Diceros bicornis minor: one gene and its partner. The protein of the gene in region 1 interacts with the protein of each later gene in a pairwise test. Links are inferred from orthologs where the notes say so. Each region holds a gene or a part of one and is shown in the gene's direction. Other genes may lie near its edges.

Region 1 (6,930 bases):
TGAATAAAGTGTTGTATAACAAAAATCTATCTGGAATCTCTCGGTATTATTTCTTACAACTGCATGTGAATCTATGACGATCTCAAAATAAAAAGTTTAATTTTGGGCCGGCCCGAAGCTTAGCTGTTAAGTGCGCGCGCTCCGCTGCTGGCGGCCCAGGTTGGGATCCTGGGCGCGCACCAACGCACTGCTTGTCCGGCCATGCTGAGGCCGCATCCCACATACAGCAACTAGAAGGATGTACAACTATGACATAGAACTATCTACTGGGTCTTTGGGGAAGAAAAAAGGAGGAGGATTGGCAATAGATGTTAGCTCAGAGTCGGTCTTCCTCAGCAAAAAGAGGAGGATTAGCATGGATGTTAGCTCAGGGCTGATCTTCCTCACAAAAAAAAAAAAGTTTAATTTCAAAACAGCAATGAGAGAGAAGTCGTAAATACCTAAGGTGGCCTTATGTTTGATTATAGAAACAAACAAAGTTGGGAAGCAAATGCAACAGATATTAATAGCAGTTATGTCTCGAATAGGATGTATAATGCTGGAGCTTTGATTTATCTTTTTGTTTGTATTTTCTGATTTTCAAACAATTAATAAGTATTATTTGTATAATAAACACAAATATAAATAACTTTAGAATAGATGTTGAATTAAAAAAAACAAGCTATTTCCTAGCACAAAAAAGGATGATTCTAAACTGCTAGAGAGCCAATAAGATCTTGGGCGGGGGGTGATGCCCTCCCCACATGCGAACAGCTGGATGTGCCAAAAACAATTCATCTGATTAACCCCCTCACCTCAGAGGTTACTGTATACCCTTCTGCCTCACCCCTCCTGATCTTTTTCTGTCTTATCCCTCATCTCTTTCATTTCTTTCCTCCCTCTGCTTCCTTCCAGCCACCTCTTTTCCTCTCCTTTTCATCTTCGCTGTCTTTTCCTTTCCTTTGTCCCTTTCCTTTTCCTTTTCTTTCTCTCTCCCTCTCCCACTTTAATTGGCCATAATTGAGAACCAAGGTGAATTTATTTGTTGTATCTTTTGAAAATTGTTAAGTTTGCCTTCACTGCAGAAAAATTAGAAAATACAGATGAAGGAGAAAGAGACTGTAATCCTATCACTCAGAGATAATCATTAATAATATTTTAGTTCATATTTTCTGTGCAAAACTATATTTTTATTTAAAAAATGCTATACTATAAATAATGTTTTCTAATCTTCTGTTTCTTCTATGTCAATATATAAAAATCTGTGAATTTTTAAGTTGCCTAGTACTATATTGTATGGGTGTACTGTAACATATTTAGCCAATCTTCAACTGCTGGACATTTTTTGCTATCATAAACAACCCTGTAAAGTACATACTTGTATATATATCTTTTCATACTTGTCCAATTATTTCTTCAGACTACATGCCTAGAAAAGGAATGAATGGTCAAAGGGTAGTCACACATTTTTACAGCTTTCTATTGCCAAATTGCCCTCCAAAATGTACCAATTAACTCGCTCTCCTGCAGTGTATGAGGCTGCCCGTTGCCCCAGTCCTTATAAACACCACCACTATCATTACTTTCAGTCTTTGTTGTATCTTTTGAATATAGATTAATTTCTCTTGTTCTTAATTTTAAAAGCAGACAATCTGGCTGTTTGATATTTTCATCTCTTAAAAATACTAAAATAAGTTGCTTTCTAGTAGTGTGTAGCTGTTGGTAGTTTTCTTTTTTTTTGGGTCAGGGCTCCTGATAGAAATAAGATTCTCCACCCCTGTTCGACATCTTTCCTTCCCTCGATCTCTGTCACTCTGCCCTTGGCCAGGTATCCCTCTATGCCCCATCCCACACTCCACGAGTGCATTAAAGAGGCTTTCCATTTGCCCCGGATCTTAGGTACCAGCTGCAAAGTATGAGTTCACTTATAACTGGCCAATATTCCCACAATTATCATCATCATCCACATTTATAATTAGTTTACAATTTCCAAAGGGATTTCTTATACATCAGTTCCTCACAACCATCCTATGAGTTAAGTTGGGCACACACGAGTCTGGGCTTTGGAATCAGACAGGCCTGGGTTGAAATCCTGGGCCGTCACTTAACCGCCCTGAGCTCATTTTCTCTACCTGTAAAGTGGAGATAATAATACTTCAGAGGATTGTTTTGAGGTCTAAATAACATATATAGAGCTCTTAGTGCAGTCCTATTATTGACAGGTGAAATAACTGAGGCTCAGAGAACTCAAGAGATTTGTACAAGTCATATTCAAGCCCAGGTATCCTGACCCTAGAGAATTATGTAATGAATAGCCTCTACCCACCACCTAGCTTTAAAAAGAATTATAGCAACAAACTGAAGATTCCATGTGTCCTTCCCTAATCCCATTCCCCTTCCTCCCTCCCACCTCCTTCTCTCCTTGCCTCCACCCAGGTAACCATTAGCCTGAATTTGGTGTTTATTATTCTCATGATGCTTCTATACTTCGACTCCATATTTATATATCTGTGAGCAACTTTGGTATTCTTCCATATGCTTTTTTTTTTGCTGAGGAAGATTCACTCTGAGCTAACATCTGTGCCAATCTTCCTCTATTTTGTATGTGGGTCACCACCACAGCACGGCCACTGACAAGTGGTGTAGGTCCACACCCAGGAACTGAACCCAGGCCGCCCAAGCAGATAATGCCGAACTTAACCACTAGGCCACAGGGCCAGCCCCCTGTTCTATATGCTTTTAAACTTTATATACACGGTATCAGATTGTGCATATCATTCTGCACCTAGCTTTTTTACTCAATAGTTTTCGAGACTTAACCATGTTGATACGTGGAATTATAGTTCATTTATTTTAAACTCAGTTTAGTATTCCATTATATGACTATACCACAACTGTATTACCCATTCTCCTGTTGATAGACATTTAAATTATTTCCAATTTTATGCCATGACAAACCTTGATGCAATAGACATTCTCATATCGATCTCCTTATAAACATGAGCAAGAATTTCTCTAAATTCTCTTTAGGTCATAAGATATGAACAGATTCAGTTTTACTAGATAGTGCCAAACAGTTTTCCAAAGTGGTTGTACTAATGTATGCTTCCACCAGCAGTGTATAATGAACTCCTATTGCTACACATCTTTACCAACACTTAGTATTGTCAGACTTTGAAATTTTTGACAATCTGATGGGTGTGAAATGTTCTCTCATTGTCGTTTTAATTTGCATTTATCTGATTATTAATGAGAATGGACATGTTTTCATATCTTATTGGTCATTCTGTTTTGTACATCTGCAAAGAGGCTATCCATATTCTTTGCATCCCTTTTTTTTGTTGTTGTTTTGTTTTGTTTTTTGTTTTGTTTTTTTTTTTGCTGAGGAAGATTCGCCCTGAGCTAACATCTGTTGCCAATCTTCCTCTTTTTGCTTGAGGAAGACTCGTCCTGAGCTAACATCTGTGGCAGTCTTCCTCTATTTAGTATGTGGGTTGCTGCCACAGCTTGGCCACCGATGAGTGGTGTAGGTCCACGCCCGGGAACTAAACCCGAGCCACCAAAGCAGAGTGTGCCAAACTTAACCACTAGGCCATGCGGCCAGTCCCTTTGCACACTTTTATACTGGGACATTTTTATTCTTGATTTGTGGGAGTTCTTTATATATTATGAATGGTAACCTTTTGTTTGTTATATGTGTTGCCAATATTTTCTCCCAGGTGTTTGCTTGTTTCATTGTTTATAAAGACTCTTAATGTAAAGAAGTTTTAAATTTTACTGTAGTCAAATGTATTAATTCTTTTCTTTATGGCCATATTGTTTCGATCATATTACATTGTCTCTCTATGTCTTCCTATGAGCCATTTAAGACCTCCTTTTCTCCTCAGGCCTGACAGGTCACTCTCTTCCTCCTTTGCCTGCAGTGTTTGTCATGTTAACATGTGCCTTTCGCTATGGCCATGATGACTTGGATGTGATTGGTCTGACGTTCCGCAAAGATCTGTATGTACAGGTCCTGCAAGTGGTCCCAGCTGAGGCCACCAGCCCCCAGGGGCCCCTCACAGTCCTACAGGAGCGACTGCTGCACAAGCTGGGGGACAATGCCTACCCCTTTACTCTGCAGGTACTGACCCCAAGTCCTGGGCAAGGTTTCCAGGGAAGATTAAGAGAGGAAGCTAAAGAAAGAGAAGAGGGGAAAGGGGTCCCTATTTCTTCTGTTTGCTGACCTCCTTCTGATCTCCTAGATGGTTGTCAACCTGCCCTGTTCGGTGACACTGCAGCCAGATCCTGAAGATACAGGAAAGGTGAGGTCTGGGTTCTGAGAAAGAGGGATAGACGGTCAGCGCTGGGAGAAGGACAGAGGGACAAATGGACAAGATTGAAGAAATAGACAATTAAAGGATGAGGTCAGGCATTTCCTTATAGGCCCATGAAGAAGGGAGGGATAGTGTTAGAAATGAGCTCTCTTTGCCCCTGCCCCTTTGCAGGCCTGTGGGATTGACTTTGAAGTGAAAAGTTTCTGTGCTGAAAACCTGGAGGAGAAAATCTCCAAGAGGTATTCTTTGGTCCTCTCCAAAATCCCTGCCTCCAACCTGTGTCAGGAAATAGATCTTGTTCTCAGGACAGAAACAGTGCTACTTCTAACCTCCATAGCACCATCATTACCAACTCAGATGCCCAGTTCTGATTCCCCTCTGACTTCTCTTCTTTGCTCTAGGGCAAGGGTCAGCAAACTTTTCTGTAAAAGGACAAAAAATAAATATTTAGGCTTTGTGAGCCATACAGTTTCTGCTGTAACTACTCAACTCCGCCAGTGCAGTGCAAAAGCAGCCACAGATAGAATGTAAATGAATGAGCATAGCTGTGTTCCAATACAATTTTATTTATGGACACTGAAATTTGAGTTTTATGTAATTCCAAACATCATGAAATATTACTTTTCTTTGATTTTTTTCAACCATTTAAAAATGTAATAACCATTCTTAGCTCGCAGGCCATACAAGAACAGGCAGCAGGCCAGATTCGGCCAGTGAGCCATAGTTTGCTGACCCATGGTCTAGATCCCTACACTGAGGGTCTAGAGGAGTTCTCTGAGGGAGGCCTTCCTCTACCTCTAACGTCCAAGTAAAGACTGGGTTATGGTGTTGGCACGGGAAATGTCTGTGGGTCCCAAAGCAGACATTCTGGCTAACCCCTTGGCCTCTACTCAGAGACTCTGTGCGCCTGGTGATTCGGAAAATACAGTTTGCACCCCTGGAGCCAGGCCCTGGCCCCTCAGCCCAGACTGTCCGCCGCTTCCTTCTGTCAGCTCAGCCCCTACAACTCCAGGCCTGGATGGACAGGGAGGTTTGTGACCCCCCCACTCCCTGCCCCCTGCCCTACAACCCCTCTGAAACTCTTTCTTCACTGATTTTTCTACTTGGGTAGACAGGGATGGGAGCCAGGGTGGCAATAGTGCTAATGAAATAGGAATTCTAGGTCTTGACCTGGGCATTCTCCCTCCAACCTTGTGATGGGCCTCTCCTCCTGCTTCAGGTTCACTACCATGGCAAACCCATCTCTGTCAATGTTTCTATCAACAACTGCACCAACAAGGTCATAAAAAAAATCAAGATTTCAGGTGAGCTTCTTTTCCTATCCTCCTGCACCTGGTCCCAAATCCACAGGTCTTTTTTCAAAACTCTGCCCCACTTACCCAGTCTGCATTCATCTAGGATTTCCCTCCAATGCAGGCTTACCAAAATATGTGTCTCTGTCCATGAGCACATTTGAGTGCATCATGCATAGTGTGCCCATGTATAAGGTCACTTCTGAGGGCAGTGAGTTGGGGTCTTGAGGATGACTGACTGATTATAGTCATGTGCTTTTCCTGGCTGTTCAGTTGACCAGATCACAGATGTTGTCCTGTATTCACTAGACAAGTACACCAAGACTGTGTTCATTCAGGAGTTCACGTGAGCTGGTGCTGGGGCCGGGGTCAGAAGAACCAAGGGGTGGGGTGATGGGAAGAGGGCCAGGGGGCTGGAGGCAGAGGAAGGGATTGGAGAAAGAAGGAAGCAAGTAACAGCCCAGGACTGAAGAAAGTCAAGGTGAGGGCTGACATGGAGAAAGGGAGGGACTCCCAGGAGAACTAGAGGGAGGATCCACAAGAGGATCATCAAAATGCTGAGAGAGGGAAGGGGCAGAAGGATTTCCCACCAGAGTGAATGTTCCATTCTCCACAGTTAGACATGCCAGGTCTCTGGGATACTCCAGTATATTCATGAAATTATGCAAGATACTCTTGGGAATGAAAGTACCCTTAGTCGGCAAGCCTAGCCTAAGTTCTTCTCTTCTCCTTTCAAAGGGAAACTATAGCTGCTAACTCCAGCTTCTCCAAGAGCTTCACGGTAACCCCACTCCTGGATGCCAACTGCCAGAAACAGGGCCTGGCACTGGACGGCAAACTCAAGCATGGTGATACCAATCTGGCCTCCAGCACGATGTAAGCTCAAATGTAACTCCCCATTCTCTATCCCCAACACATTCTGCATGCTATATATACAGGTCTAAGGTTTCACCTTCAATGAAGCCTACCTACATTTTTAAAATGTCCCTAGGCTAGTGTTCAGAGATCCCTCCAGGCCTGAGGGCTAACAGTAAGCTAAATAATGCCCATGGGACCAATGGCAGGCTTAGGTCATAGGCAACAAGAAAGGAAAAAATGGGGCCGGCCCTGTGGCTTAGTGGTTGAGTGCACGCGCTCCGCTGCTGGCGGCACTGACGCACCGCTTCTCCAGCCACGCTGAGGCCGCGTCCCACATACAGCAACTAGAAGGATGTGCAACTACGACGTACAACTATCTACTGGGGCTTTGGGGAAAAAAAAGGAGGAGGATTGGCAATAGATGTTAGCTCAGAGCCGGTCTTCCTTAGCAAAAAGAGGAAGATTAGCACGAATGTTAGCTCAGG
Region 2 (7,066 bases), on another chromosome or scaffold:
AGTCTTTTCAGCCAATTCCAAATAATAAACGTTGCATATTAAAAATATCACCTATTCTTATTTTCAATTAAGTCAAACTGTAGATTGACTTATAGTCTATGACCGTCTCTTCCATGGTCCAGGGCGTCAGATTTGGCTTATCTAAAATTCATACGGGGCCGGCCCCGTGGCTTAGCGGTTAAGTGCTGGCGCCCCGCTGCTGGCAGCCCGGGTTCGGATCCCGGGCGCGCACCGACGCACTGCTTCTCTGGCCATGCTGAGGCCGCATCCCACAAACAGCAACTAGAAGGCTGTGCAACTATGACATACAACTATCTACTGGGGCTTTGGGGGAAAAAATAAATAAAAAAAATTAAAAAAAAAAGAAACCTTAAAAAAAATAAAATAAAATTCATAGGGACTAATCAAGTAAAACAAAAGGCAGTTTCAATATATTTCTTTGGGCAGAGGACATGGACAAACAGTTTAGAGATGAAAGACTGCAATTATTGGTACATTTTGGTAGTGATTAAAGACGATGACAGGGCTCGCCCCATGGCATAGTGGTTAAATGCGCACGCTCCGCTGCTGGGGGCCCAGGTTCGGATCCCAGGTGCACACTGACGCACCGCTTGTCAGGCCATGCTGTGGCAGCGTCCCATATAAAGTAGAGGAAGATGGGCACAGATGTTAGCCCAGGGCCAGTCTTCCTCAGCAAAAAGAGGAGGATTGGCATGGATGTTAGCTCAGGGCTAATCTTCCTCACACACACACACGCAAAAGATGATTACAACAATTAGATACAATTTTCTACATAATGAAATGTCAATGAATGATATCTTCATGTAGAGAAGAGTTGAAAGAAACATTTGTTTTGGGTGACGGTATCAATTAATAGAAAAATTCCATTTGGAAAATGATTTGATCATAATCATCCACATGTTCACTCTCTTAATTGTGGGAGTATTTTAAATGTTCAGAACTTGGGGGATGATTAAACATGGTGCAGCACATCCACTCAGTGTAGCCATTAAAAAGATGCTTAAGTGGGGCTGGCCCCGTGGTGTAGCGGTTAAGTGCTCGCACTTCGCTGCTGGCAGCCCGGGTTCAGATCCCAGGCGCGCACCGACGCATCGCTTGTCAGGCCATGCTGTGGCGGTGTCCCATATAAAGTGGAGGAAGATGGGCACGGATGTTGGCTCAGGGCCAGTCTTCCTCAGCAAAAAGAGGAGGATTAGCATGGATGTTAGCTCAGGGCTGATCTTCCTCACAAATAAATAAATAAATAAATAAAATAAAAAGATGCTTAAGGCCAAGTAATTTATGGTCAAGAGAAGAAAATGTGCTTTTGACAGTTAAAAGTAAAAAAAAAGGAAAAAAGAAAAAAAAAGTCCATGAAATTTCATGTGCACTATGATCTCGACATTTTTTTTAATGCCTCTGGATGAGAAAGAAATGGAATAATTTTTTTTTTTTTTTGGTGAGGAAGATCAGCCCTGAGCTAACATCCATGCCAATCTTCCTCTTTTTGCTGAGGAAGACTGGCCCTGGGCTAACATCTGTGCCCATCTTCCTCCATTTTATATGGGACGCCGCCACAGCATGGCCTGACAAGCGGTGCGTTGGTGCACACCCGGGATCCGAACCCAGGCCGCCAGCAGCAGAGCGTGAGCACTTAACCACTACGCCACAGGCATAGAAATCGAATAATTATTAACTTCAGAACGAAAAATCTTGTCTTTGAAATAGAAAGTACATTTAGAAGCTACATACAATCTATAATTTTTTAATCCAAATTTACCACCATTATTCATATTATTTTTAAAATTCATATTATGGTTCTGTGGGTAAAATTTTGCTTCTCACAAATCACAAGCATCAATATTTAAATAAAAACCAAATATTTAAATAAAATTCCTTATCAGTATGTAGAGTATGGCCTTTATCCTCTAAAGACTGCAAACCAATCACAAAAATGTTATACAAACATTCAGAGGTGTGCATTATGCCAAAAATTCAAAAACTTTGTTTTAAAACAGGAAAGGAAAAAAAAGAGCTGAAATAGTTTCTGGACAAGAAAAAAATTTTGCTAGGGAGAGGTTGGGGAATCATGTTACACCAAATTAAAAAAAAAAAGATATTTAAATAGTTGTTCTAGGTAACTTTTTTCCTTTTTTTTCTAGGTAGTTTTGTTTCTAGATGAAACAAAAGAATAAAATCAAAATACTTTTTTTGGAGCTAGTTTTATCAAAGAGCTCCAGATGGAGTCTTTTGAATGGCAATTTCTAAATGAAAGGGTGGGCAGAGATGTCTCAATTTACAAATCAGTGCTTTTCTCCCAGGGTTCACTATCATTTATATGAATATCAGGAGAAGGAAGTATTCAAAATCACAAGAATACATGTCCTTAAATATTGAGACCCACAGAGTCTGGTAAATCTTATGACCTGTTGACATGATGTTTCTGGTCTTTCTAAAAAGGTGACATTTCCCAACAGCATTTTGAGCCTTAAGAAAACCCCAGGTTTACCTCACATGCATTCAGAGAAGGTTAAGAGGCAAAAGTAAATGAAAAAGAAAGCAATAGTGAGGGAAAAAATAATAAATTGCCTCAGTCCAGCCACTTAACTTTTCAACTATTTTATATCCAGCCAACCCACTTGCAGATAGTGACAAAGAAATCATTTCCCCATCATTTTGGTTGTTATTCTAATTTAACGTCATCCTTCATTTTTCTCCAAATTTCTTAAGGGAATTTTAGAACTCCAATATGACAAAAGTAAATTATTTAATAGGTCTATTTTTCCTTAAAATTTCACTACTTATTATATGACCAAATTGTTAGTTAACAATTTAACCCTCAACTCATCAATTTATAGCCAAATAATTAATTACTCTCCTCCTGATTTAGGGTAAAATAAATATCAAGTTTATTTTAAGTAAAGAATGCGTTTTCCTACCGAAGGAAGGAACTAATTTTCTCAGAGTCCGCGTACATAAAAACAGCTGACCCCATAGAGAGAGGTGGTTACAATTATGACTGGATGCAAGGACACAGCACACAGATTGCTGCCCACAACTGAGAGGATAATTCTCTTAACATGAGATGTTTTTCAAAGTCTAGGAGTGGTGGAGTGGATTTCCCTCAGAATATTCTGATGAAAGAAAACTCTGGGTCTACTTGCACCCCCCAGTACAGTGCCTTTCTAAGCCTGTTGCCAAAGACCTGTCTGTAGGGTCAGTGTGAGCACAAGGCTCCATTGCTTGGGCATGGACAGGTCCATGTGAGGCAGTCTGTGTGCTGCAAATAGAAAGAATGATTATGTGACCTTTGGGGTTCCTCCAGCTCCCAGATTCTACAGACAATAAAGGAGTGAGAGGAGGAGAGCCTCCTTTGTTCTAAATTCCATACCTCCCTCTTTCTGAAGCCAGAAGAGAGACAGATGGGGAAGGCCATTCTGGCTGTTTTGGGCTTCACTGGGGTGGCATCATCCTCCCGAAACCACCTCAGTCTAGGGTTTTGTCCTAGGTTGAGACTTTCTGCTTTGGGAGGAAGGGTGGATGGACACCAACCAAACCAAAAGAGCAATTTATGAAGTGACAATGAGCAATATAATTGCACCAAGCACTCCCACCCCTCACCCTGGACTTCCCACCCTGTGGGCGCCTCCATGAAAAGCAGATGGTCTTTAGAAGGGTGATTGGTTGGCGGGGAGTTGGAAGGAAGGACCAGCCTCTGCCTTGGACAGCTCAGGGAAAAGCTTGATGTGTCACCTACAGGACAGAGGAGCACCTGCCTCCAGGTGGGTGGGATGAGCCCTTGGTCCAGAACTGGTCCTGGACTTGGATGGCCAGACCAGCATTATTATCCTCAGAGACTCCCCATTCCTCCCTTCCCTGGCTGACCCAGGCCCTCCTTCAGCCGGACATTCTTTCTTTAGATATGCTAATATCTTCATTCGTTGGGTCTGATCCAGTCCTGGGCCTCAGCTCTGTGTGGACTGTGAAGTTTTCTTTCCTTTCTTTCCAGTTTGAGTGGAGGTGGAGTGGGCAATCTCACTGCTCCGAGCTCTCCTGGCTCCTCCCCGGTTCTCCTGCGACCTGGGTTAAGCGGGCAGGGGGCCGGGAGGGTCCTTTCCAGCCGTGGGATCGTTCAGAGGGCTGAATCTTCAGGCCGGGAGAAGGGCTGGTCCAGGATTGCGGGCGCCGGGCCGGGAGCCCAGCGGGGGCGTGTCCCCGCGCTCACCTGCCATTGGGCAGGTGGGGCCCCCGGGGCTCCGAAGGGCCGTCCTATAAAGGCGGAGCGGGCGCCGCGGAGCCAGGCTCGTCGCAGGATGGTGGACAGCGTGTACCGGACCCGCTCCCTGGGGGTGGCGGCTGAAGGGCTCCCGGACCAGTACGCGGACGGCGAGGCGGCGCGCGTGTGGCAGCTCTACGTCGGGGACACCCGCAGCCGCACGGCCGAGTACAAGGCCTGGCTGATCGGCCTGCTGCGTCAGCACGGCTGCCAGCGGGTGCTCGACGTGGCTTGCGGCACCGGGTGAGCCCGGAAGGGGCCAGTGGGACGGGGGAGCGGGGTCTGGCTCGGCCCGGGCCGGACCGCAGGACCACGGCCGAGCCCGTCCGAGCAGCTTCCTTCGCCGGCCTGGAGCTGGGCCGGGCGGGCTGCCAGGGCCGGGAGAGGGTGTCTGCCCGGGCAGAACGGGCAGGGCGAGGGCCTGGGCGAGGCTGGCGGGAGGAGGGGGCTGAGGAGGCCCAGGGTGAGAGCGGGGGCGTGGGCACAGCGCGGTGGGGAGGCCGGTTCGCCCCGGCAGCGCCAGAGCCGGCTTTGGGGCCAGACCATGTAAGCCTGGGTCCTGGCCCGAACATTGCTCCTGTGTGATGGTCTTGGGCAGCCGTAACAGTTCACATTTGTTCACTTTTGCTCGTGCCAAGTGCTGTGCCCGAAGCTTTTGATACATCCGTTTCAAAAATCCTCATAAAATCCCACGAGGGTTAGGGCTAGGGTTAGGGTGGTGATATCCCATTTACAGCTGTGGAAATTCCGCCTCAGACAGTCAAGGATCCTCCTCTTGTGGAGAGGAGAAACAGACCCAGGGCAGGTAGGGTCTGGCCAGTGCTCTATACCACCATACCATACTACCTCCTGTGCACAGGTCACCTGACTTCCAGGAGCCTCAGTTTGCCCCTCTCAAGTGGGATAACACCATCTACTTCACAGGGTTACCATGAGGATTAATGCACGTTTGTAGAGCGCCTGACTCCAGTAAGTGCTAAAAAAAAAAAAAAAAAAAGTTGCTACCTGGTGATAAGAAACAGATTTGCCAGGTCATTCGAGGTCAGTGGAGAGGAAGCAGAGGAATGGGCTCTGGGGAGTTGAGGAGACTGAGTGTCCAGCACAGGGCCTCCTCCTTGCCTTCCCAGGCCCCTGACTGCCCCCTCCGCCTCTCATCCCTGGCCCTGCCCAGGGTGGACTCCATCATGCTGGTGGAAGAGGGCTTCACCGTGATGAGCGTGGACGCCAGTGACAAGATGCTGAAGTATGCGCTTAAAGAGCGCTGGAATCGGCGGCACGAGCCCGCCTTTGACAAGTGGGGTATGTGGTCCAGCCAGGCCCTCCCAGCCCAGCCACCAAGGACATGGTTCTCTCTGCCCTGGGCCTCTTTAGCTTCTAGGATGGAGTGTTTTTTTCCCTCAAGGGGACAGCAAAATTAGTCATTTCCCTGAAAAGGGAGGCTTAGGCACCAGAATGAGGCATCAGTTATAAGGGGCTGGTTTTAACTATGTTGATAGCATCTTGTCCCTCCCCCCAAATAAAAACCCATAAGCACAGAGCCCTCCTTCCCAACATGGCTTCCTCCTCCTTTGACCCCTCTTCTCCCTTCCCTCTCCAAGTCCATAATGATCCCTTCCCCCTCACTGGATGGGGAGTCCCTGTGTGTGTCTTGAAGGGGAAACTGAGGCAGGACAGCACTTGGTGGAGGTGGGTGTTGCTGGTACCACGGTGCCACCTTGATCTCTCTTCTCCTTCCTGGCCCCCAGTCATCGAAGAAGCCAACTGGATGACTCTGGACAAAGATGTGCCCAAGCCTCCAGGGGGTGGCTTCGATGCCGTCATCTGCCTTGGAAACAGTTTTGCCCACTTGCCGGACTGCAAAGGTGAGAGGGTGTGGCCTTGGGCATGGCTTGCTTTGAGCTGCACCCCTGTCCCCAGACCCCTGGATGCCTGCTCTCCTGCCAGAGCAGACTGCTTTGCCCCTCTCTGCCTTGGCACTGGCACTGCTGGGGAGGAGAGAGATGGGAGGGAAACTGGTGCTGGGGGCCCTGAGCAGACGTAGCCTCTCTGCCCTTGCCCGGAGCTCAGGAGACCAGAGTGAGCACCGGCTGGCACTGAAGAACATTGCGAGCATGGTGCGCTCAGGGGGCCTGCTGGTTATCGATCATCGCAACTACGATCACATCCTCAGCACAGGTTGTGCACCCCCAGGGAAGAACATCTACTATAAGGTGGGGCCACTGGGGGAGGGAGGGCCCAGAGCGGGAGGAGTTAGCCTGAGGTCCAGGCCCCATAGTGGCTGCAGAGGCTAATGCAGCCTGCACCATCACCTGCAGAGTGACTTGACCAAGGACATCACGACCTCAGTGCTGACAGTGAACAACAAGGCCCACATGGTGACCCTGGACTACACAGTGCAGGTGCCGGAGGCTGGCCAGGACAGTTCTCCTCACTTGAGGTAACGACTTGGCTAGGCAGGGGGTGAGCTGGGGGGTGCTGAGGCCACCAGGCCTCATGGTGGTCCGGGGGCTCTGTTGCAGTAAGTTCCGGCTCTCCTACTACCCACACTGCCTGGCACCCTTCACGGAGTTGCTCCGAGCAGCCTTCGGGGGCAAGTGCCAGCATGGCGTCCTGGGTGACTTCAAGCCTTACAAGCCGGGCCAGGCCTACATTCCCTGCTATTTCATCCACGTGCTCAAGAGGACGGACTGAGCATGGCCTAAGGTCCCACAACCCTCTGCCTAGGCACTGCTGGGCTCTGTCTGGGGAGGTGGGGAACAGCAGCCCCACACCCAGTCCAGCCCTGGTGCA

What was found. The genes of interacting proteins can lie anywhere in the genome.
Region 2: the proteins of ARR3 (region 1) and GNMT interact in a two-hybrid assay, tested with the Homo sapiens proteins (2 studies listed by BioGRID and IntAct). The two-hybrid records come from large-scale screens. The link is inferred for Diceros bicornis minor from reciprocal best matches to the Homo sapiens genes ARR3 and GNMT.

What each region holds. Positions count from the first base shown.
Region 1 is NC_080781.1:63,648,369-63,655,298, forward strand, and holds the start of ARR3 (arrestin-C), read left to right. Parts: upstream 1-3,908; 5' UTR 3,909-3,910; coding exon 3,911-4,102; intron 4,103-4,223; coding exon 4,224-4,283; intron 4,284-4,466; coding exon 4,467-4,534; intron 4,535-5,189; coding exon 5,190-5,325; intron 5,326-5,514; coding exon 5,515-5,599; intron 5,600-5,860; coding exon 5,861-5,933; intron 5,934-6,325; coding exon 6,326-6,463; intron 6,464-6,930. UniProt on the Homo sapiens protein: May play a role in an as yet undefined retina-specific signal transduction. Could bind to photoactivated-phosphorylated red/green opsins.
Region 2 is NC_080753.1:22,694,332-22,701,397, reverse strand, and holds the start of GNMT (glycine N-methyltransferase), read left to right. Parts: upstream 1-4,061; 5' UTR 4,062-4,313; coding exon 4,314-4,519; exon of another isoform or gene 4,520-5,340; coding exon of another isoform or gene 5,341-5,447; coding exon 5,448-5,575; intron 5,576-6,021; coding exon 6,022-6,138; intron 6,139-6,343; coding exon 6,344-6,486; intron 6,487-6,591; coding exon 6,592-6,713; intron 6,714-6,795; coding exon 6,796-6,967; 3' UTR 6,968-7,066. UniProt on the Homo sapiens protein: Catalyzes the methylation of glycine by using S-adenosylmethionine (AdoMet) to form N-methylglycine (sarcosine) with the concomitant production of S-adenosylhomocysteine (AdoHcy), a reaction regulated by the binding of 5-methyltetrahydrofolate.